Struthio camelus: one gene and its partners. The protein of the gene in region 1 interacts with the protein of each later gene in a pairwise test. Links are inferred from orthologs where the notes say so. Each region holds a gene or a part of one and is shown on either strand. Other genes may lie near its edges.

Region 1 (7,158 bases):
TGTATGCAGAGTATTGACTACTGGCAAAATCTCCACAGGCTGCTTCTTCTGCTCTGCCTCTGCTTTGAGTCTCTGGCAGAACATATCATATGTACAGAACCTATCTCCAAACTCAGATTAGATTAAAGGCTCAACAGCATCATAATGCAGTTTTAAACCCCTGTGCTACCATGAACACAAATGTCAGGGCAGCAAGGTCAGATTCCCATGAATGTCTGGCAGTAGAGCTCTTTGGAAAAGACACTACCAGTGCAAGTTGGTGAGATTTGGTTTATTAAAACTCTTACTGAAAATGTACATCCTTCTTGGATTCCCAAGCTCCATCATCATCTTGCGAAGGATGGCACGCCCAAAACCTACTTGTGACTGATCAGTGCTAAAACTTCTAACTTCAGCACACTGAATGGCTAACAGGACCTCATTATGGACCTCATACAGGACCACAGAAGCCACACACTAATGCATACCTTGGCAGAGAAACAGCAAGGGAAATAGTTATTTTAGCACAGTCACCTGCTATTGCCTTATGGCAGATGATTGACTCAAATTCTTGCTTTGTTTCCTCCTAGGACCTCAATCCTGGGAGCTGCGGGCTGGCTGTGAGGCAGACAGGTCCAGCATGGTGGAGATGTGTAGCTGGCAAAGGGCCATGGAGATGTTGCTTTGCTCTCCGTGTCAGAGCCTCGGAAAGCTCAGAGCTGTCCTTTCCTCAGTGAGCTTCATCAGAGAATAAAGTAATATCCGAAATGAAGCTGGATCATTTTAAATCAGAGAGGCAGTGGATGGCAACCAGCTTTACGGGACATTTTTTCAGAGAGAAAGGCAGTAACATTTGGATTAATGGATCTGCAATCCATCTTTCTGAAGTAGCTAGAAAGTGTGTTAGGAGGCCACATTTACCCAAAGCTCATCCCTCTTTGCTTGATGTTAACACCAGATCCAAATATGCTTTGCAATCAGACTGACACCTGGGGAGTAAATACATCATCAGTGCCTAGTATAGAGTGGACTAGGGTTGGGGACAACTGTCCTGTGTCTAGGTTGCTTTTACAATGTAGCTGGGATCTTTGAATGATACAAACAAAAAATTGGCTAACATGAAAAGGTTGAGGCTTTCCAGAGCTGTCCAAACATATGTCCTAACTACCACATTTTTGCTGCTTATACAGCTTTCCATAACTGTTTATCGTTCTGGGAAATGAGAAAGGACTGTTTACACAGTAGCTAAAGGAACATGCGACAAAAGGCTGCTAACCCTAGGATGAAGAATATTTTCATCAAGAAACAACTGTAGGATATTCCTCTTATCTCCTTAGAAACTAAGTCTTTAGGCCATGCTTCTAGTCCATGGTGTCTGGAAGCAGGGAATTTTTGCATGGACAAAAGAAGACATGTGAAAGTCATTTGTTCCAGGAGACTTGACTCAGGCTGTCAGATTGTGTTGCTTGGCAGGGACTGAGGACATGTTATTATAAGCCTTCATGTTAGGATGAACCCTCCAGATGCCAACCTCTGATTGGTTTGGGGTCAAAAACATAAAACCTAACTGGGCTCTGTATCAAACCATAAATCAATTTGTCATATCAGAAAACCTGGCACGCTTTTTGTGTTACTACCAAACCTCCACAGCTTGACCCATGTTTGCTATCCAGATGAATTATTCAGAGAAAAGCCAGGAGGTGAGAATATCTTCTAACGGATATTAATCTACCAATACTTTCTCTCAGCTTTTCAGACACTGTTGCAGGTGGATAAGGAAGCTTGTGTATACAAACTGACATTTACAAGTGGTGGAAGAGCTCTCAGTTACGTACTGCAGTAATAGTTGAAGCGAACAGTCCTGTGTTCTTACCACAGCAGGATACAAGTTCTGTTACCCTTTGTAAAATATTATGAGCTGCTATATGAAACTTGAAATTACCCTTTATTTCTGGCTATAGTTTTTTCTGCACCTCTTTTAGTGTTGTGGTTTAGCAAAGCAGTTGTTCTTCAGAGATTTACCTTGGGAGAACTTACTGAGTGTGTGAAAGATAGGGAATTCCAATATGGAAAAGATCATTTTCTCTCAGAAGCTAAATTCTCTCCAGAATGAAAATTGTTCAGAGAAAGAAAACCAGCATTTGTATAGAGGGCTTTGTGTATGCAAAAAACCACAGACTATCCCTTTCAGAAAGAACTCCTTTGGAAGCTGGGATAAAGAAAGAGAGAAAGTGGCTCTGAAAATGTGTATCTTTCTGAAAACGACCATTGAACTGGATTCTCCCCATAGCATTCCCTCGTTTGACCCACCATGGGTCATGAGGAGTAGCTTGAGGTAGCAAGAAAGGGGAGAAACAGATGCGGACATGAGTGCTGCCTCCTCATGCTTTCCCACAAAACGTAAGTGTCTCACAGGATGCTTCCTCTGGTCTCCTGGAGCAGTCACTGCTGTCACCCATGGGGCCATTGCAGCCAAATGTCACGTCAGGTCCCTGGGCTCAGCCTCCTGCTCACAGCCTGGACAGGCTCAGGAGTGCCCAGCCACAGCTTCTGATGTCCAGCCATGGCCATCTCATTTCTGGGCACCGTGATAGAGAGTCCATTTTGGGGCCACCATCCCAACAGCTGATAGAATGCTACTTCCAGGCTACGATTTTTTCCCAGCTTGTGTCAGTGCTTGGGATGAAGATAGCGGGGGCTGGTTCTCCAGAGATGTGGAAATAATAAATAAATCCAGCAGTGGTATCAAAGCCCTCAGCAAATAGAGGACAGTAGCTTCAGCCAGGAGGAGGAAGGACAGATAATCTCAGCTTAACAGAATAGTGCCTCATCTGAGAAGTATGTTGCTGCGTTAAGGAGAGGGTCGTTTGCCTATTTGTGCAGGCTGCCTGATCTTGTTTCTTTACCTGCCTCTGTAAAAGAGAGGCTTTTCTTTTCCTCCTCTTGACATCTCACTGCCTACCTTCACAAGTGTAGACTCTCTACTTATCAGGTCAAACTCTTTATCTCATGTCCTGCTCTCCCTGCTCCCCAGACAGAGCAAAACCCCTAAAGGGCAATTCTCAGTCAGGTGGCCACAACAAAAGCGTAGAAGTCCCAGGTCAAATTGCAGGGAGGAACCAAAAGGACCCACAAGGCCGTCCTGACAGGAGAAGTGGCATGCAGTGAGGCAATTGTGTTTCATTCTGGGTGAAAAAAAAGGTTAAAATAGTTCAACTTCGGGCCAAGGATCATGTCTCTGCTGCAACATACTCCAGAGTAGTGCAATAAAGTGAGAGATGGACCTAGCAAGGAGATAGGCTGTAACCCTAATTCTGCATGGAGCCTTGCTTGGGCAGGTTTTCTTCTGAGGCCAGAGGGGCTTTGCCAATGTGAGTTGCTGAACTTTTTTCACCTCTAATCTCTCATTCCTTAAATGTGCGAATGTCCCCTTAACCTAACGTAACAACTCCATTACAGCAGGAAGGAAGCCCAGAGAGGAAAGCAGTCTCCTGAGTTATGAGTGCCCACTGCCAGCCTGGCACATATTTATTTCTTCACCTCAGGCTAGTTGCTAGAGCTTCTTTGTGCTGTAAAATGGTAGAACTAGCAATGCCTTCCCCCATACAAGGGGTTGCAAGGGTAAAACGTGGCAGAATATGAGGGACTCAGACTCCCTTTCAACAAGATGCATACCTGAGATTGATGAATGAAGGGCAAGTTAAAGTTTGTTACATCTTCAGAGCGGTTAGCATTTCCTAGAGTGTTTTTGTTAATCCCAAAGCTTTGACAAATCGTCTGATTTAGAAGCTAGACTCTTACAGCCCAGCTAAAATATCAGGCCATTAAATTACTCTCGTTCTTTGACAGTCCCTCCTAGAACCTCGCTACGCTTAGGTGAGCGTATTTTAAGGTCAGACATTCCCGAATCAAGCAGAGTAAAGGGCCAGGGTTGCTCAGGAGAGTGGCAGCCCTTTCCATTACAGGTCTTGTGCTACCGTTAACTATGATGCCTTAAAAGGCCAGGAGCACAGAGGTGATGCTGTTCTTATCTCCTGTGGATGGCTGGTACTTTGGAGATATTATATTTATAGCTTGTCTAAAGAACGAATGCCTGACTGTGTAATTACTAAATGCATAGTTTGGGTAATCCAATAAAGCAGTAAGTCGCTGCATTTGTCTCTGCCTTCTCTCATTCTCACACTAGCAAGCAGAGGCACCACCAAGTTGCAGCAAGGTAAGAAAACAACTTCTTTCGATTTTAGCTGTCTTTTGGCCCCTTTACTCCTTTTCATCCTCCCTTTCAGGAGGAGGGCTGGAAATTTGTCAACACTTTCTATGTAGAGATCATGAACGGAGTGCTTCTTTCTTGCAGGAAGAGTGGCTTTTCGGTTGTTTGTTCATTTTTCGCTGTCTGTCAGGGCACATACATAGTGTCTCACTTTGCATTTCTAGTCTGCTGTTGGGAACCAGGTGCTAAATAACAGCTGCTCTTTAGTTTCTGCGCTAATAATATGCTGTCATGTTTTCATGTTCTCAGGGAATACAACCATGTCTAACTAGAGACACTTTCCTGGTTTGAATAGGAAACTGAATGACTTCAGGCAGAAAGCTTTTGATTAGTTTTTTTTTCTCTATCAGCATTTTCTTCTTTAGGATGAATATTTGGAAATTGAACAGACAGTGAAAAAAAGGGGGACAGAAGGAACATTTATACTTTTTTTTTTCTGTCTTTGACACCGTTTCGTAATGGTCTTGAAAGAGAGAAAGGCAAATTACACACGATGCTTGCTGATTTTGTGTTTAAACAATTATTTGTTATGGATTACAGCAGCTGTGTGAAAGGGAAAAAGAAAGAAAAGCATTGAAACGTAACTGGGTGTCAAAGCAGGAATTCTTCAGAACTTGTCTGGAAAACAGCATTAGCAACAACTGCCAAATGCCAATTATCAGACCGTTGTTACACTAATTTACTTTTAACCTCATCTCATGAGAGTATTAATTTTCAAATGAAGCGAATAAAAGAAGACCTCTTTGGAAAAATAAGATTGTTTGTGCATGTGTGTATGTGCATTTAGATGCATTTATACATGCGTTTTTATTATAAACATTCTTGTAACAAGAGACTTTTTCAAGCAAGGATCACAAAGTATGAAAGGTAAGAAATATTAATTTATTTTTAGCCAGAGATCAGAAGGTATCATACTTTGCACAGAGTTTTATTTACTATTCCCTTATTTAAGTAAAGAAATAAAAGAAGGCTTATTTCCAAATTGCTGAGCAACCAGTGCTTCACAGACTCTGATAGGGATGTTGGCTCTCTGGAGAGCAGGACTCCTCAGGCCTGATCCACATCCAAGGCCTGTACAAATGGCTCATCTCACTTCAAAGCATTTGAGACTGGGCCTAATGCCTACGTGCGGATTTCAGAGGCAAAAGGAAAGATCCTTACTTGATACAAACTGTCAGACATCTATGGACATTGCTGAAATATGGATGTTTCCATCTACTGTTGATTGGCCTGTACATGTGGAAATGTTGGATCCAACCCAAAGGCGGTTGTAATAGTGAATGAAATATGCCCAGAAATACTTCTGCTGGGAAAAGTGGTCCTGGGGTCACCTGGTCTGAGCAGTCTGTGTCCATGCCATTATGCACTCCTGGTGTCTGAACAAAGTGGCCACATCTGAAAGGTATCCTGGGGTTGGGCTACCCACCTCCCAAACCATGCCGAGGATCTGGCTGGGAGAGGGCTAGCTGGCGCACGCCAAAACTGCGCCAGGGACAACTGACCAGCGTGGCCAAATGAGTTGCGGAGCCTGGAGCATCCTGTGGTCCTGTCTGATTTATGAGTATTGATGTAGCCCCTAGTGCACCCCTACCTGCATCTGAACTTGTTCTTTTACACGGCCTCAATTAATGTGTCTCATCCAGCTGAGCTATCCTGGCTTTCTCTGGTGGGGGCCTGTGACCGTCAGTGCAGACAATATCAAAAGAGCAAGCTTAGAAACTAGTTTGTTCCATATTTTGTGTGAAGAACAGCATATAACGTAAGTAGAAGAAAAAAGGAATGCAGAGTACCAAACTGGCTGCACACATCTATCTTATCTAAAGGCTTACTATCCCCTCACTGATGCCTGGGGAGGCTTAACTTCTTCAGATATCACAGTCAGAGCCTCTGCACATCCATCTGTTCTCCAGCAGTTACTGTCCCACCGCTGGCCCAGGATCTGTTCTTTTCAGATCCTTTCAGAGCTCCAACCTTCTGGTCCCCAGAACTGATAAAATGGGTTTTGTAAGTTGCCTGGCGTTCAAACGTAGGTGCTTCCCACTGAAGAGCGCAGTGTTGCCTCTAAGCAGTCCTCCAGTGTGGACTGGGAGACGCCTTGCCCAAGCCCATTGACCCATGTTGTCTTGTTTATCCAGGACCCTGCCATTAAGCTAAACTGACGCCACCACAGTAAATTGCATAATAAAGAAGTTACATACAAAACTAATATTTTTAATAGAGTAGCCTCGTTTCTGCAGTGCCAGAAATTTACTCATGTCCTCAAATTCTTTCTCTGTCATCCAAGCCTCAGGCAAAAACAATAGATACCACAAAATCTTTCTGGTTATGTACTTAGAGTTAAAGTATCATCACTGGTGTATTGACAGTATTCCCTCTAAAAAATGAGAAGCAAAAGTAGCATTCCAGTTATGTACAGCAAAACATCAGGCTTTTTTTGAAAGAAGCTGGCCAAAGATCTTTAGCTTGAAAAAATGCAGGAAGGTACATACTAATGTAGTGATTTTTCACTGGATTTGAATTTGAAAGTGAAATAGGATAAAATGTCCAAAAGCCTATTCCCAAAGTGAACCTATTCTAAAGGCAGTCTTTCCAACAATAATACTCTGTTCTTACCTAGCATTGGAAAATATGATTAATGGATGAATAACTTTACTTTTTCCCTTCCAAACAGTAAGTCATCAGAACAAGGCAAACCTTTGATAGCAGCTGGCAAGAAGCTGGGGGGGGGGGGGAGGCAGACTCATTCAAACACTTCTTTAATATAGAAATTCTAAAAGGCCATTTTATAAGGAAGAAAATTAGAGAAGGAAGGGAATGTGAATACTTACTTTGGGATGAAATCCTGGCCCCACTGAAATTAATTAATGGAAATTCTGCTCAGAAACATCCACTGATTTTAATGAAGTCCG
Region 2 (7,141 bases), on another chromosome or scaffold:
AGCAATGATCCCTGCCTTTGCAATTTCAAATATAGCCTTGCATGTTGCTAACAACTGCCAAAGACCACTTGAAAAATTGCATGTTGACATGATACATTCTCCTGTTAGGCGTTGTTTGCTACAGAAAATATACTGCATTCTCATTTCAACAATTACACTTAGCTTTCTACCTGCTTCCAGGTACGGCTCAAGATACCGCCTCACACACAAATACACAAAAGTCTTGACGATTTGCAATTTGGCTGTTCCAATACTACCATTGTCTCCTGCAGAGAGCACAGAAGTTGAAGCAGGTTTATGCAGAAAACACAGTCCTTGCATTCAGTAATTGTGACATTCCTAGGCAAGTGCTTTCTTAATCGTCTCTGAAATTCATTCCTCCAACTGGTCTGACAAAGCTTGAGGTTATTCACCCGCAGGGTAGAAAGAGCCCAAAGCACGGTGCCTCCTAGGCTTCTCCTGCAGCAGGTGCTGGTGGCACAGTTCTCTGTGATTTATGTGGACACACTGACATGTTTTTACATACACAATTTTTGTACCCGTTTTGTTCTCCTCTCATCCCTCAAACGCACAATATGAGCAAACAGATCTTTGGGAATTATAAGAGCTGTAAATCTGTACATACATCAATGGAGAAACCATATCGGTTTATGGCTGAAAACCGCCTCTGTCCCTTTAGCCCGCAATCTCTCTTTTCCATCTGCTATAAGGTTGTAGCTTAAGTACTATCTACGTAAACTACAAGGTTTTCCAGCGCCAGGACGCTGCTTCAGACAGATTAAATTACCACTGTGACAACAGCAAATTAGCATCGGGACAACAACTACACAGCGGTCATGCAACACGCTCAAGAAGTCACATTTAGCTCTGTCCCATATGATTTCGGCTAAACCTGGCTGGGACCAGCGCTTAATGCTGCTCCGTTGACACAACACCTAGGTGAGCCTGCAGATGTAGGTGGAGGTTGGCACGGCATGGACTACCCTCCAGCAAGCCGGGGCTCAACCTCAGCAAGCTTCTGCTGCACAGACACGGAGAAGGGGTCACGGAGAAGATTACGGCAGATGCCAAAATCCAGCGCCAAAACTAGCGCGCAGGAACTGCAAATACTAATTTACTCACAGAATCACTGAAACGGTGGTGGGAAGGGAGTGCCAGAGATACTCTAGTCCAAACCCTCACATGAAGCAACACTCAGGCTTCCCTGTTCTGGGCGTAGGGGAAGTTGGGCCAATATGACCGAGAGTATCTCCCGTTTAAGAAACCACACCGAGTTTGGATAAGGTAACTGGCTGCATTCCCTAAGTAAGATGTGTGAGGTAACACCCCTGAGCTCGATGCCTCCCAGCCTTCCTCACCAGAGCTGCTCCGCTGAAGCACTACAGATTTACAGCTGTACTAACAAAAAGCAGGTATCTCCCTTCCCTTTTTACTGAAGGCTCCTCTACATCGGGGCGGGGAAAAAAAAACCACACATGCACCAAAAAAAAAAAAAAACCTCCCACAAAATAAAATTAGCCTAACCTTCGAGAAGCCGGCTAAAAAACTGCTGGTTTTTCCATCTACAAAGCGAGCGATTCAGGCAGCTTCCGTTTCTTGGAACGCACCGGAGCAAGCTGTGCCGAAGGCAGCCGCAGCTAAGCAAGGTCTGAATCACGCCAACTCTAACCTCAGCCGGAGCTGCAAGTCTGGCGCGCGCGCCGGACCGCGCTCTAAGGAAACGTCGGCATTTGAAGACGTTCCTCCCGAGTCCTTTTCCCACTGCAAGTAATCGTTCACGGGCAGCTGCCGCACGAAGGGCGTCCTTGGTCAAAGCAAGAGCCGAGAGCGGGCAATCCTCGCCGGCGGCAAGGGCGGCAAACTCGAGCCAGGCGATAAAGGCGGCTACGTCTTAAGTTCCTTTTTGCGGGAGGATTTCACTTTACCATTTGCTCGGGCAGAGCCGACAGGCAAACGGGGCCGAAGAGCCTTCGCGCCTCTCCGCCCCGAGCGGACGCCCTACCTCGAGGCGGGCCATGGGCGAGCTAAGCCGAGGCGCGGGCTGGGCCGAGCGGGGGCAGCTGCTCCTCAGCTCGCTGCCCCGAGTTCTCCAGCTCTACGCAGACGGCCAGAGCGAGCGGCTGCGGCGTTTCCTCCTTCGCCGAGCCGGGGAAGCGGAGGAGCTCCAGCGAGACGGCGGTCCTCGCAGGCGCTCCCGCCTCTCGGCCAACGGCTCGGCGTCGAGTCGGGGCCAGGAGGGCACGGCGAGGGCGAGGGGAGGCCGAGGTTGGGCCACCAGCCCCGCACGCGCTCGGGCTGGTACCGGGCGGGCCGGGGGAGGCGGGGGGAGAGATGAGGCTTCCCTCGGAGGCGCAAAATTTTTATTTCGCTCCCAAGTTTCTGGTAAAATTCGCCACGTAAATACGTTACCTGCTGCCGCCGGCCGGCCGGAGGGGACCGAGACGCGCCACAGCGAAAGGTGTTTCACCTCCTGGCCACTGGCCGCCGGCGTGGCAAAAAGAAATTAACCCCCCCCCGGCCCCAAAACACACCCTGGGGAACTGTGCTCTTTAACAGCAAAACGCACGAATTTATAGCGATATGTTTTAAACAAAAACAAACCAAAAAAAGTTTTTTTCCTCTTAAATGTTAACAGGACAAAGTGTTTCCCTCCAGTTTGCGCTGTGCCCCACAACCCGGAGCCGGCAGGCTTTTTTCTTAAGGTCTGGGCGCCCAGCAGACCCCCCCGCCCCGCCCAACCTCGGCGCCGCCGCCGCCATGCGGCAGCCCGCGCCGGGCGCCCTGAGGGCAGGCGGTTTCCCGCCGCGCGGCGCAGCAGCCCCTCAGCCCGGCTCCCCTGCCCCGTCGGCCGCGCCCAGCCCTGCGCGGCGCCCTACCTCGGATATAGGCGCACTTGCTGTCGTCCAGCGGGCCGGAGGCAGAGCCGCCCATGCTGGCGCCGCGAGCTGCGCAGGGCGCGGAGCGGGGCGGCGGCGGCCGCACGCTGAGGCGCTGCCGCCGGCGCCTCCCGCCCGCCCGCCCGCCCGCCCACCGGCACCGCCCGCCGCCCGCCTCCCTCCTCTCCCTCAGCCTCAAAGCTGCGTTATTGCAGACTCTCTGGAAAGGCGTTGGTTTCCGCTGGTTTGCACCTGCCGCAGAAACTGCTTTTTAAAATAAGCGTGGTTTTGTTCTAGTCGCTTGGGCTGGCTGTGCCTCAAGTACCCTTAACGTTGTGACGGTTGAAAGTTTTCATAACCGAACCCGGCCCTTCTGCTTTTCAGACTTACGGTTAACCGTCTTGATCAAACTGGACGTAGCGAAGGCAGCTCGGAGGCAGTTACCTGCCTCCAGGTCCAGCACCCTGCTAAGCGACCTCTCCCTCAAAGGCCGCCGACCGACGCCAGGCTTTCGGCATCAATTCGCGCTATTCACACAGACTTTCTAGGTGTATTTTAGTTGTCCCGAAGCGTAGCGGCGCAATCGTTTAACTGCCCTGAGGAGAGCGGATGCATCCAGGGCATCAATAAAACAGTGGTTTGCCGGTCTGTAAACATCTCAGCGGAGAATCGAGCCTAGTATTTAAATCAGCAGCCACTTCTAGAGGCATGGGGTAAATCCCAGGCTTTCGTCAAGAGCTGTTAAACTCTACTACGAGGCTTTTAACTCGCTACCAGCAAGCTGGACGCTGCGGTTCCTGCAGCGTGCACCTCCGAGCTGGGTGAGCGGACAACCTAGAGGAAATACGCTGCACACCGCCTTGCCTTTTAAAGGTGTGAGAGACGAGCTTGGCCTCCGTTTATAGTGTTGCGTGTCTTCTATCAAGTTTCTTTCAGACGACTTTCATGCAGGCACGTGTGCTACGCGAGTCACCTCCGCTGGTATCGGAGAGAGAAACCGTGGAAAGTTCATGAGCCGTAACATGGATTGCTGTTCTGTCTCCTCGTTTAGAAGATGAAAATATGCCAAATCGCAGAAGCTTTGTGCTCAGGAACAGATGTCAGGGTGCATACAGGATGGGAAACCTCCCTGCCTAATTACAGCTAGAGTGAAAACAAAATGAGAAGTGAACAGTTTTTTTAATTATAACGTTTCATGCTTCAGTAGCACCTTTTATCCAAAGATCCCCAAGCATTTCGCAAATGCCAGCTAATTAAATACCATCACTTTCCTTTTAAGATAGCAACGTGCTATGGTTTCATGGCAAAGTTAGTATCTTAAGCATCTTTAAGAAGACATCACAGAGTCACAGAACGGTTGAGGTTGGAAGGCATCTCTGGAGATCTTCTGGTCCAGCCCCCTGCTCAAGCAGGGACACCTAGAGCACATTGCTCAGGACCGTGCCCAGATGGCTTTTGAGTATCTCCAAGGATGGAAACTCCACAACCTCTCTGGGCAACCTGTTCCCATGCTCAGTTACCCTCACGGTAAAAAAGTTTTTTCTTATGTTTGGATGAAATTTCCTGTGTTTCAGTTTGTGCCCGTTGCCTCCAGTCCTGTCACTGGGCGCCATGGAGAAGAGTTCAGCTCCATCTTCTTTTATACCCTCCCATCACATATTTGTACACGTTGATAAGATGCCCCCGAGCCTGCTCTTCTCCAGGCTGAACAGTCCCAGCTCTCTCAGCCTCACCTCATACTGGAGCACGACAGATGCTCCAGTCCCTTAAGCAGCTTTGTGACCCCTCGTTGGACTCGCTCCAGTAGCTCCATGCCCCTCTTGTACTGGGGAGCCCAACACCGGACCCACGCGCTCCAGGCATGGCCTTACCAGTGCCGCTGAGTAGAGGGAAAGGATCACCGCCCTCGACAAGTCGGCAACACTCTGCCTGATGCAGCTCAGGATACCATTGGCCTTTTTGGCCGCTAGGGCGCATGGCTGGCTCATGTCCAACGTGTTGTCCACCAGGACCCTCAGGTCCTTTTCTGCAGAGCTGCTTTCCAGCCAGCTGGCCCCCAGCATGCCCTGGTGCATGGGGCTGTTCCTCCCTAGGTGCAGGACATAAGAGAAATGTGAGAAAAGTCAGGAACAGAGCCAAATGACCCTACTTCTATACTGTTTAATAGCAAAACCATCCTTCCCTAGGATAAGAAATGGGCCATGTTCGATTTTAATTTGATGTAACATGGCCGCATATAATGGACTGCAGTTCTCAATGACAAGATAATTAAACACTATCAAAGTAACAGCAGCGCAGACAAAACAAACACTTTCCCACTTTTTCTGCTAAGAAAGCTTGATCTTTAAGGGAAACGAGCTTTACGTCTCCCTCAGAACGCTCCTTCTCTAAACACCTCTTTTGTATCATATCCTAAAGGGCAACATGATGGAGCTCTTCCATTCTACACAGAAGGTGAATTCAAGAGTGAAAAGGATTGCACTTCTTTCCTATTATCTCTTTGTAGAGGGGACGGTAACGTCACCGTGAAGTGACAAAGACACAGACACGACCACAAGGTCCGCTCTCAACACAAATGGTCACACCAGCATGATAAAGTGGTTGTTAGTCAAACACACGGTCCTGAACACGACCACACGGCTGACAAACTGCAGATATGTCATCAGAGGGACTGATAAAATCTTTGTCATGTTGTTGGATACTTCCCCTACGTACCAACACCATCTAAGTGTAACTTAAGATATGCAAGGAACCAGCCGCTCTGACATGATGCAAAATAGCATGTGCCTGCGCCTTCTGCTTCAGAGGAAAATGAAGGGTTTATCCTGTTTATACTCTCCCAGAACCATCTTGGTTGCCTCACAAACACAGTTCAATATTAGCAGAAGCATTTAAGCGAAATGCATATGGAATCCATTGGGGCAGAAAAGCAACTATCCAAAATTACCTTATAAGATTTCTCCCAGGGAAGGTAGCCATTTTAAGATCACTGACTTCTGCAAGCACGATAGCAACATGCTGTTGACAAAGACAGCCACAAGCACAATAAAACTATCAAGGAGGCATAATAATTATCTATTGCTAGAGGAAATCATTAATCGTTATTGTCTCAAAGCCAGTACTGGGCTGTAGAAAGTAGCACTACGGAGAGAAGCAGCCCTTTTCGCCGGACAGGCTGGTAGGTGAAATATGTTGTGAATCTCTTCCATCTAAATAACACCGAAAAACATTACACACAGAAAAACATTACCTCTATGAGGTATTTTCAGAGGCTGGAAGGAGGTCTGAAAATCTAGCCAGGGAAGATACTCCAACAGAGTCAGAACTGTTCTGGCTGGAGATCCAAAAAACAGTATTTTGATAAAAAGAGCCTTAAGAACAGGGAGAATTTGTTGTGCTTTAGCTACTACTCTAATTCTGAGAGACTTAGAAAAAGCATTGCTCTGAAAACCCATAGACAGAAGAAGAGTGGATTTTAACAGATTCTTAAGGGAAAGGCATGACTTGGAGACAGTGTATGAAGTGCTACTGTATTCCAGAGGAGAAATAAAAAAGGTATGTACGGTCACTATCCAAAGAAAAAAATTAGCTAAAACCCCTTATTTTTGTTACTTCAGAAGGTGTGGATGACACCAGACCTGAGGAGTGTGAACTGCTCATCAAGGACGAAAAGCAAGGCAAAGTTATATTTCTATAGCAGAGGGTAAGCAAAATATCTTGGTAGCAAAATTGTATAATTTGTAAGAGTATCTCTACCTTTCAGTAGTTCTGTGAAAGAAGATGGTGAAAAAAGGCGGTGCAGGATGAAACGTAATCAGGCAGCTGAGTGCACAACCTAATGCTTCCTTCTCCACTCCTTATTTTCTTCCTCAGTTGTGCTTTCTTCTGATTCAGCATGCAAATAACGATTATTTGAATACTCATTAAATACCAGTGCTCATTAAATACCAAACCGTAGATAACATTCATCATTTTACCCTTCTTGGTTGCCAAGTGTTAGAAATGTCCCTTTAGTCCACACATTTTAATCTGATCCAAGGGAATTTTTAAAAACTTTTCAGTAGAGAAACTTCCTCATAAAAATGCTTTAAGGCTGACATGGAAGAGTCCAGTAGTTCTCCAACCACATTTAGTAAATAGATGTAGCTCACTGTGAGGCTCATCTAGAGGTTAGCACTGTTAAAAATCTTCTAGCATTTCCAACCTCAGCATCCGAAAAGTACACATCTTGTTCCTCAAAAATATACACTTTTTAGTGTGAAGTC
Region 3 (7,089 bases), on another chromosome or scaffold:
CCGCTCCCGGCCCCACCAGCCCGGGACCCCCGCGGCGCCCGCCGGCCCCCGGCCCCGCGCACCTCCGTCGTCGATGGGCACGCGCCAGCAGTCGCCGACCTCGGGGCTCAGCGGGCAGGCGTAGAGCCCGCCCGTGCGGTTGGCACCTTGGCCGGGCAGCGCCGGCGCCTGGGGGGCCCCCACCAGCAACCTGCGGCGACAGGGAGCCGAGCGTCAGCGCACGGCGCGGCCGGCTGGCGCGCGCCGGGCTGGGTGTGCGTGCACGCTGCCGGGTCTGCACGCGCACCGCGGGGCTCGCACGCCCTCGATGGGGTTTGTGCATGCACCACGGGGTTCGCACACCCTTGATGGGGTTTGTGCGTGCACAGTGGGGTTTGCACGCCCTTGATGGGGTTTGCATGCCCTCAATAGGGTGTGCATACCCTCGATGGGGTTTGTGTGCACACTGCAAGGTTCACACACCCTTGATGGGGTTTGTGCGTGCAACGCAGGGTTCGCACACTCTTGATGGGGTTTGCATGCACACCACAGGGTTCACACGCCCTCAATGGGGTTTGCACGCACACTGCAGGGTTTGCATGCTCGCACTCCTGCTTGCACCCTTTCCGGAGCTGCTCGAGCGCCCGCAGAGCTGCCCGGGCTGGACGCCTGGCCCCGCCGCCCCCGCGCAGCTGTCCTCGCGCAGACACCGCCGACGCACCGATTTCACGCCTCTCGCTGGGGCCGGGCAGCTGCCCGGGCTGGGCAGCGCCAGACCGTGCACGAGGGCGAGGGCTCGGGGACGGGGCAGGGTGCACGCACCCCGCCGCACGCACCCACGCCGGGCGCGCTGGGTGCCAACCGCCCCGGCCCCAGCTGCTCCCAGGCCTCAGCCGCAGCTCGGTGCATGTGTGGGCAGGGGAAGGGGCAGCCGGAGGCGAAGCACAGCTGGATGCCCACACGCCGCGCTGGCTCGTGGCCACCTCTGCCCTCTCCGCGGGGGACGGGGACAGCGGCCTCGAGACACGAGGGAGCCCCAGGAGACGGCGGAGAGCTGGTAAAAATAAACTGGAATTCACTCAAAATAACTCAGCAGCAACATGCCCAAAAAAGGAGGGAGCCCGAAAGAGGCACGGGGCGCGCCAGCGCGGGTGCCAGGGCGCCGGGCAGTGCCCGGGGCGCCGGCGCCCGGGACCCCGCACGGAGCCGGCCGCGACGCTGCTCTGCGGCACTGGGGACGTCTCCGAGCGCCGCGGAGCTGCCGGCACGGCGGGGTCGAGCCGCCGCGGCCCGGCGCCTGCTGCAAATACCTGCCCGGGAGCGGCGGCAACAAAAATAACCCTCCAAGGCCGGGAATGTGGAGAGCGCGGCGGCCGGGGCCCCCGGGCCGAGGTGCCAGCCCAGAGCTGGGACGCGCTGCCGGCTCGCTGTCCCCGGCCGGGGGCCACGGCGGCGGCACCGACCCCCCCGGAGGAACCGGGGCGGTGTTTGCTGGGGCTTCGCAAGCGGCAAAGGGCAACGGCGCCGGGGCAAAGCCGGGGTCTGGGTGAGGGGCCCGGCGCCGGGGTCCCATCGCGGCTGGCGTGGCCCAGCCGGCTGGCGGCTGCCCTGGAATCCGGGTGGGCGTCTGCCAGCTCAGCGCCGGGGCACGTGCCCGCCGGGCGCATCCGCCGGGCACCCCCTCCGCGCCGCGGCCCCCGCTGACTCAGGCTGGCCGGCGAGGCCGAGCCGTTGCCGAGCCCCCCGGCCATGCTCGGGGCTATCGATTTTGCTCCCCACTCCCAGGGAAAGGAGAAGGAGCAGCGGCAGGGCTGGGCTCGGCCGGGGCTGCGCAGGGGACCGCGGGCTGGTGCCTTGGGGGAGAGCCCTGGCCCCCCGATCCCGTGAGATCGAGTGGTCCCAGCTGCCTGCAGAGCTCCCGCAGCGTGCACACCAGCACCCACATGCATGTGCACAGCACCCATGTGCACACGTGTGTGTGCTAGCACCAGCACACACGTGCACGTGCACAGCATGTACACTAGCACACACACACGTGCACACCAACACCCACATGCATGCTCAGACACCACGCGTGGGGGGCAGGATCTGACCCCTCCAGCATCCCGGAGACTGCGTCCCTGACCCCTCAGCAGAGACCCAAAGTCACGCCAGGAGCCAGGGAAGACACAGCAGCCCCAGCCACGAAGTCGGCAGCGACCGAGCGCAGCAGGGACGGGGAAAGCCGGGAGGAACCTGAGCAGGGGGCTCCCTGCAGGGAGCCCAGGGTGCCTGCGAAGGGCACGAGTCCAGCCAGGTCCTGCCTGCAGCCCTGGACACATCGGGCGACTCCGCGTTGGCACCGAGAGCAGAACCAGCCCCCACCCAGGCCCCATCCGCCCCGGACCCCGGCCGGGTCCCCACCCCGGGCTCCCCGCAGCGGCCCCGGCCCTGCTGAAGCCCAGCGAGCAGAGGGCAGCCGGCAGCCCAAGGGAGCAGGCAACCCGACACCATCCCGCCTGGCACCCCAGGGACGGGGAGGCGACAGACCCGCAGCCCCGACAGCCCCGACGCCACGGGGACGGGCTGGCCGCCGAGAGCCCGCTGGCTCCCAGCGAGGGGCACAGACCCTGGGCTCCCAAAACCTGCGGTGCGAGGTGCTGGCGGAGAGGGGACCCCGCGGGGGAGCACCGCAGCGAGCCCTCGGGAGGGGGCGAAAGCAGGGGCTCACCAGCTGGCGGGCTCAGGTTGGAGCTGCCGGTGCAGAGCCACGGAGAAGCCGAAGAGGCTGCCCTTGTCGCCATCCTTGAGGAGGGTGTTGGTGACGTCCAGGTTGAAGGCAGCGCTGCCCAGGAGGTGCAGGCTGAGCCAGGGCACCCAGAGGGGCAGAGGCGCTGCCATGCCACGGCGGTGCCCGGCCCCACAGCTCCCACCGCCGCCGGCTCACGGAGATCCCGGCGCGCCTCCGCCAGCAGCGGCCGCCCGCCCTGCCGGCACGGCTCAGCTCGGCTCGGCTCAGCTTGCTCTGCTCCGCTCTGCTCCTGGCAGCGAGGAGGAGCACGGGCTTCGCAGCAAACACGCCCCCTTCGCCCAGCGTATCGCATGCCGGACCGTGCAGCGCAGTGCATCACATACTGGACCGCACACTGGACCGTGCAGCGCAGCGCACACTGGACCACACACTGGACCGTGCCGTGCATTGTGCACTGGACAGCACACTGGACCATGCAGCGCAGCGCATCATGCACCGGACTGCACACCAGACCGTGCAGCACATTGTGCACTGGACAGCACACTGGACTGTGCAGCGCATCATGCACCGGACTGCACACCGGACCATGCAGCGCATTGTGCACTAGACAGCACACTGGACCGTGCAGCGCATCGTGCACCGGACTGCACACCAGACCGTGCAGTACAGCACTTCGCACACCAGACCACACGCTGTGCTACACGGCATATCACAGCGTATCACATGCTGTACCATGCCCCATGCTGCACAGCATATCGCAGTATTACACCCTGTATCACAGCTTATCACAGTGTATTGCACCCCATATCACAGCGTATTGCACTCCATATCACAGCGTAATGCAGTGTATTGCACACCAAGCTGCACGGCGTATCACAGGGCATCGCACCCCATGCTGCACAGCACGTGACAGTGTGGTGCACCCCGCGCTGCGCGCCATCAGCTCGCACACACACGCAGCAGCAGGCATCCCCATGGCCCGGCCGCCTCCCGGGAGCTGCTGCTCGGAGACCTCCCCGGTGCAAGCACAGCCCCCGGGGACCGGCAGCCCCACAGGGTTTCTCCGACCCGCAAACCGCAGCTCGTCCGCTGCCGCGTCCGACGAGAGCCGGGCACGCTGCGCTCCGCCGGGGCTGGCCGGAGGCAGGCGGCCCCGGGCGCGGGGAGAGGCACAAGGCAGCGCTCCAAGCCTGGAGCCTTCCCAGGCGCCGATGCACCAAAGAGCGCTCGCGAGCTGTTTGCTGACCTTGATTTTGCCACGCTGCCCTGAGCCAGTCTTGCCGCAGTGACACCCCTCCCCGCCGCTCTTTGCGGGCCTTCGCCCAGAGGCGATACCCCAACACCAGCGGTGACCCCCCCCGATACCCTGGCACCCCCATCCTGCAGCAATGCCCCGGCACCCCGATCCTGCATGGCGGCTGCGCGGGGGCTGTTTGCTCGCGGGGCAGCTGCCACGCCGCACCCAGGGGCCGTCTCGGCCACCCCGGGCGCAAACCCATGCGGGACCCGCTGCCGCATGGACGCACTTCGGCCGCGGGGGCCAGCGGCTGCAGCTCGAGCGCTGCCCTGTGCCCCAAACGGGAGCTCAGAGGGGAAGGGAGAAACGGGGGCCGTCATATTTTCCAGCACACTGGCTATTTTTAACCGCTCCCGCTCTCCAAAGGCCTGCGAAGATATTTGTGAGTTGGCAAGGCCGCTCCGGCCGTGTGAATTAGCTCCGGCTCGGCCCTGGACGCGGGAGCATGAGCTGGCCCCGCCGGCGGGCTCGGCCCCCAGCTCGCGGGACCCGCGCCCAGGAGGCGCCCCGGAGCCCCGGCCTGCTGGCAGCCCCTTCCCACCGGCCTGGCCCCCACCCAGCCCTCCCCACGGCTCGCCTGCCCTTTCCCCTTCTGCGATCCAGCATCCTTTCTAATATCCCTGCTGACGTGGGAAAGGGAGCATCGCTTCCTGGGAGGGGAAGGAGGGAACGGACCCAGTTCAGCCCTGTCCCACCGGGCTGCTCAGGCTCCGTTAACCCCCGCCGTGCCTCACCTGCCCTCCCCCTCGTGCAGAAACGCGGGCGAGCCGCGCCGCGGGCTGAGCTCGGAGCCCAGAATTCCCCTTCGGCCTCTCCTCTTTCAGCAATCGCTGTGAATTGCCCGTCTGCCGAGAGGGGATGGCATCAGCGGAGCATCAGGCTGGTATAAATAGAAAAGAAGGTGGTTGCGGTCGGGAAGCGAGATGAGCGGCCGGTCTAAATTAAAACATGACCTGGGCTAACGCTGCAGTCCCTCGGCACCGAGGGGACCCTGAGCAAAGCGTCTGATCTCACCGAGGCGTCAGCGCGGTGCCCGCGAGCAGGGAGGGGGAACAGCAGGGGAGGCGAGGGGTCCCAGCACGCATCTCCAACAGTGGGGAAAGCAGGGCTCACCCTGCTCTCCTCCCAGCACCAAGACCACGAGCTTCAAAATAAATGAGTTTACAGGCCCCCATCAGTGTCTGGATCCTGAAACCTTAATGGGTGTCATATTCCCAAGCCATCCTCCTCCCAAGCAAGCCTACAAATTCACTTTTCCCCCCACCAAGCTCAACCCAACTCCCTAATAGCATCACAGGGCTCCGGGAGCTCAGGCTTCTGGGGAGCAGCAGCCGCTGCGCAAAGATACGCAGAGCTGCCAGCCCTGCCTTCTGCTCCATGCTCCGGTTTTTCTGCTGAGCAGCATTTAAAGAAATCATCGCTCAGCGCATGAGCTCAGCCAGGACGGACCGCTGGAGCAGCCACTGCGACTTCCCAGCCCGGGAATTCATCCTACTTCCCCACGCTGAGCTCAGTAACTTGTTTGGCTAACGTGCCTGAGAACGGCAGCTGGTCTGGATTAGGAATCATCAAGAGATGGCAAATCCACTACTTCCTTGGAGGCTTGACCCCCCTGTCAACAATCTGCTTCAGGGTAGAGGCCCAGCGGGTAGGGGAATTCCAGCCCAAAAAAACGTTTTGTGAATTGAGAACCAGACACCTCCCCACCTTCTGGTCCTTCCTGGGCTGTGCGTGTGCTGGGAACAGCCACGTTCCTCCCCAGCACCAGCTGCCTTTCAGCAGCCGGCAACTGAATCTCGGCACGGCCGCACCACGCGAGGCATTGTACAAACGGGGGCTGCTGTTACTACCTCCAGATGAACGGACAGTAGTGAGAGCGGGAGTGCGTGCACACATACGTGCTCGCTGATGCTCCTTGGAATCGCTACAGACTGTGTTACACCCTCAGTGTTGTCTCATGAGAATTTTATTTTCGATACAAGGGCCAACTTCCAAATGAGGCTTGGTTTCCAGAAGGGAGCGCTTTCTCCAGGCCCGACTCACCCATCAGGACATTGTTCCCGCAGGCTCAGGCATGAAACACGAAGGGGTTTTTTTCGGTTGGGGTGAGAATGAAAGGCGGGGGGGGGGGGTGTTAAACAGTAACTCACGTGTCATGAGAAAAGACTTCCTTGTTTAGAGGATTCACTTCACTCCAAGCCCTTTCTTGGATTTGAACCCTCAGCTCCTGGAAGCTGCAGCATCACCCCACCGGCTTCTGAATAGCTGAAGTCAGGGAGCAAGACAGAGATGGGAGCAGAGCTCAGGACACAGGGGAGGAGGGAGAGGATCACCACTCGCTTCCAAACAGATGGAGGGAGGGAGAGAAACGCTCCCAAGAACTCCTCCAGTTTGCGAGAGCGGCCAAACCACTTCACCAGCTCCATTAGCTCTGTTAATGGGCTGAATCAATTCCAAGCTCCCACAACCCCTCCACGGAGCACCCTCCTGCAGAAGGAAGGCAGGAGAGGAGAGAGAGGACAGCGGAGGGCAGAGGAGCTGCACTCAGGAGCGGCTGCTGCACACCCACAGCCTTGGCTGTGGTCAGATTGCCGCTCTCTCAAAGACATAAGAGCGTGTCTTTGTTGTCAGACATAGTTTCAGAAACGGAAGCTGTGGCGCATCCCAAAGTGCGCAGAGAGCCAGAGACTACACCTCAGAGAGGTGTAAAGTCCCACGTACACTCCAAGGAGGTGTTAACTGTTACCAGCAAAGCTCCTCACAGGCTGCTGCTGTTCACTACTTCATTCCTGTGGAAGGAAGGGCAGCTACTGGGTCAGCACAGTTCGGCCGGCAGAGCTTTGTGCTGGAGCTCCTGTGGGTGGGAGAAGCCGCCATGAATTATCCCTCCAAACAACAAGACTCCTTAACAACTTCTGTGAGCCCCGAGCAGACAGCACCCCACCCCCAAGATACACCCACACCTCTCACAAGCAGCAACTGACCTTGACACACGCCAAGCCCAAGCACAGCGGGGAGCCGAGCCGCTCCACCACACACAGACCCAGAGCACGCTCTGCCCCACAGCACCTCCGTTAATCCA

The links. The genes of interacting proteins can lie anywhere in the genome.
Region 2: the proteins of FHL2 (region 1) and NIBAN1 interact in binary tests that used the Homo sapiens proteins (3 or more experiments, as listed by UniProt). The two-hybrid records come from large-scale screens. The link is inferred for Struthio camelus from reciprocal best matches to the Homo sapiens genes FHL2 and NIBAN1.
Region 3: the proteins of FHL2 (region 1) and ITGA7 interact in a two-hybrid assay, tested with the Homo sapiens proteins (2 studies listed by BioGRID and IntAct). The link is inferred for Struthio camelus from reciprocal best matches to the Homo sapiens genes FHL2 and ITGA7.

The regions. Positions count from the first base shown.
Region 1 is NC_090942.1:154,185,915-154,193,072, reverse strand, and holds the start of FHL2 (four and a half LIM domains protein 2), read left to right. Parts: upstream 1-4,153; 5' UTR 4,154-4,195; intron 4,196-7,077; exon of another isoform or gene 7,078-7,158. UniProt on the Homo sapiens protein: May function as a molecular transmitter linking various signaling pathways to transcriptional regulation. Negatively regulates the transcriptional repressor E4F1 and may function in cell growth.
Region 2 is NC_090949.1:3,952,032-3,959,172, reverse strand, and holds the start of NIBAN1 (protein Niban 1), read right to left. Parts: upstream 3,020-7,141; 5' UTR 2,932-3,019; coding exon 2,877-2,931; intron 1,647-2,876; exon of another isoform or gene 1,573-1,646; intron 1-1,572. UniProt on the Homo sapiens protein: Regulates phosphorylation of a number of proteins involved in translation regulation including EIF2A, EIF4EBP1 and RPS6KB1. May be involved in the endoplasmic reticulum stress response.
Region 3 is NC_090969.1:808,283-815,371, reverse strand, and holds the start of ITGA7 (integrin alpha-7), read right to left. Parts: upstream 3,020-7,089; 5' UTR 2,860-3,019; coding exon 2,690-2,859; intron 191-2,689; coding exon 63-190; intron 1-62. UniProt on the Homo sapiens protein: Integrin alpha-7/beta-1 is the primary laminin receptor on skeletal myoblasts and adult myofibers.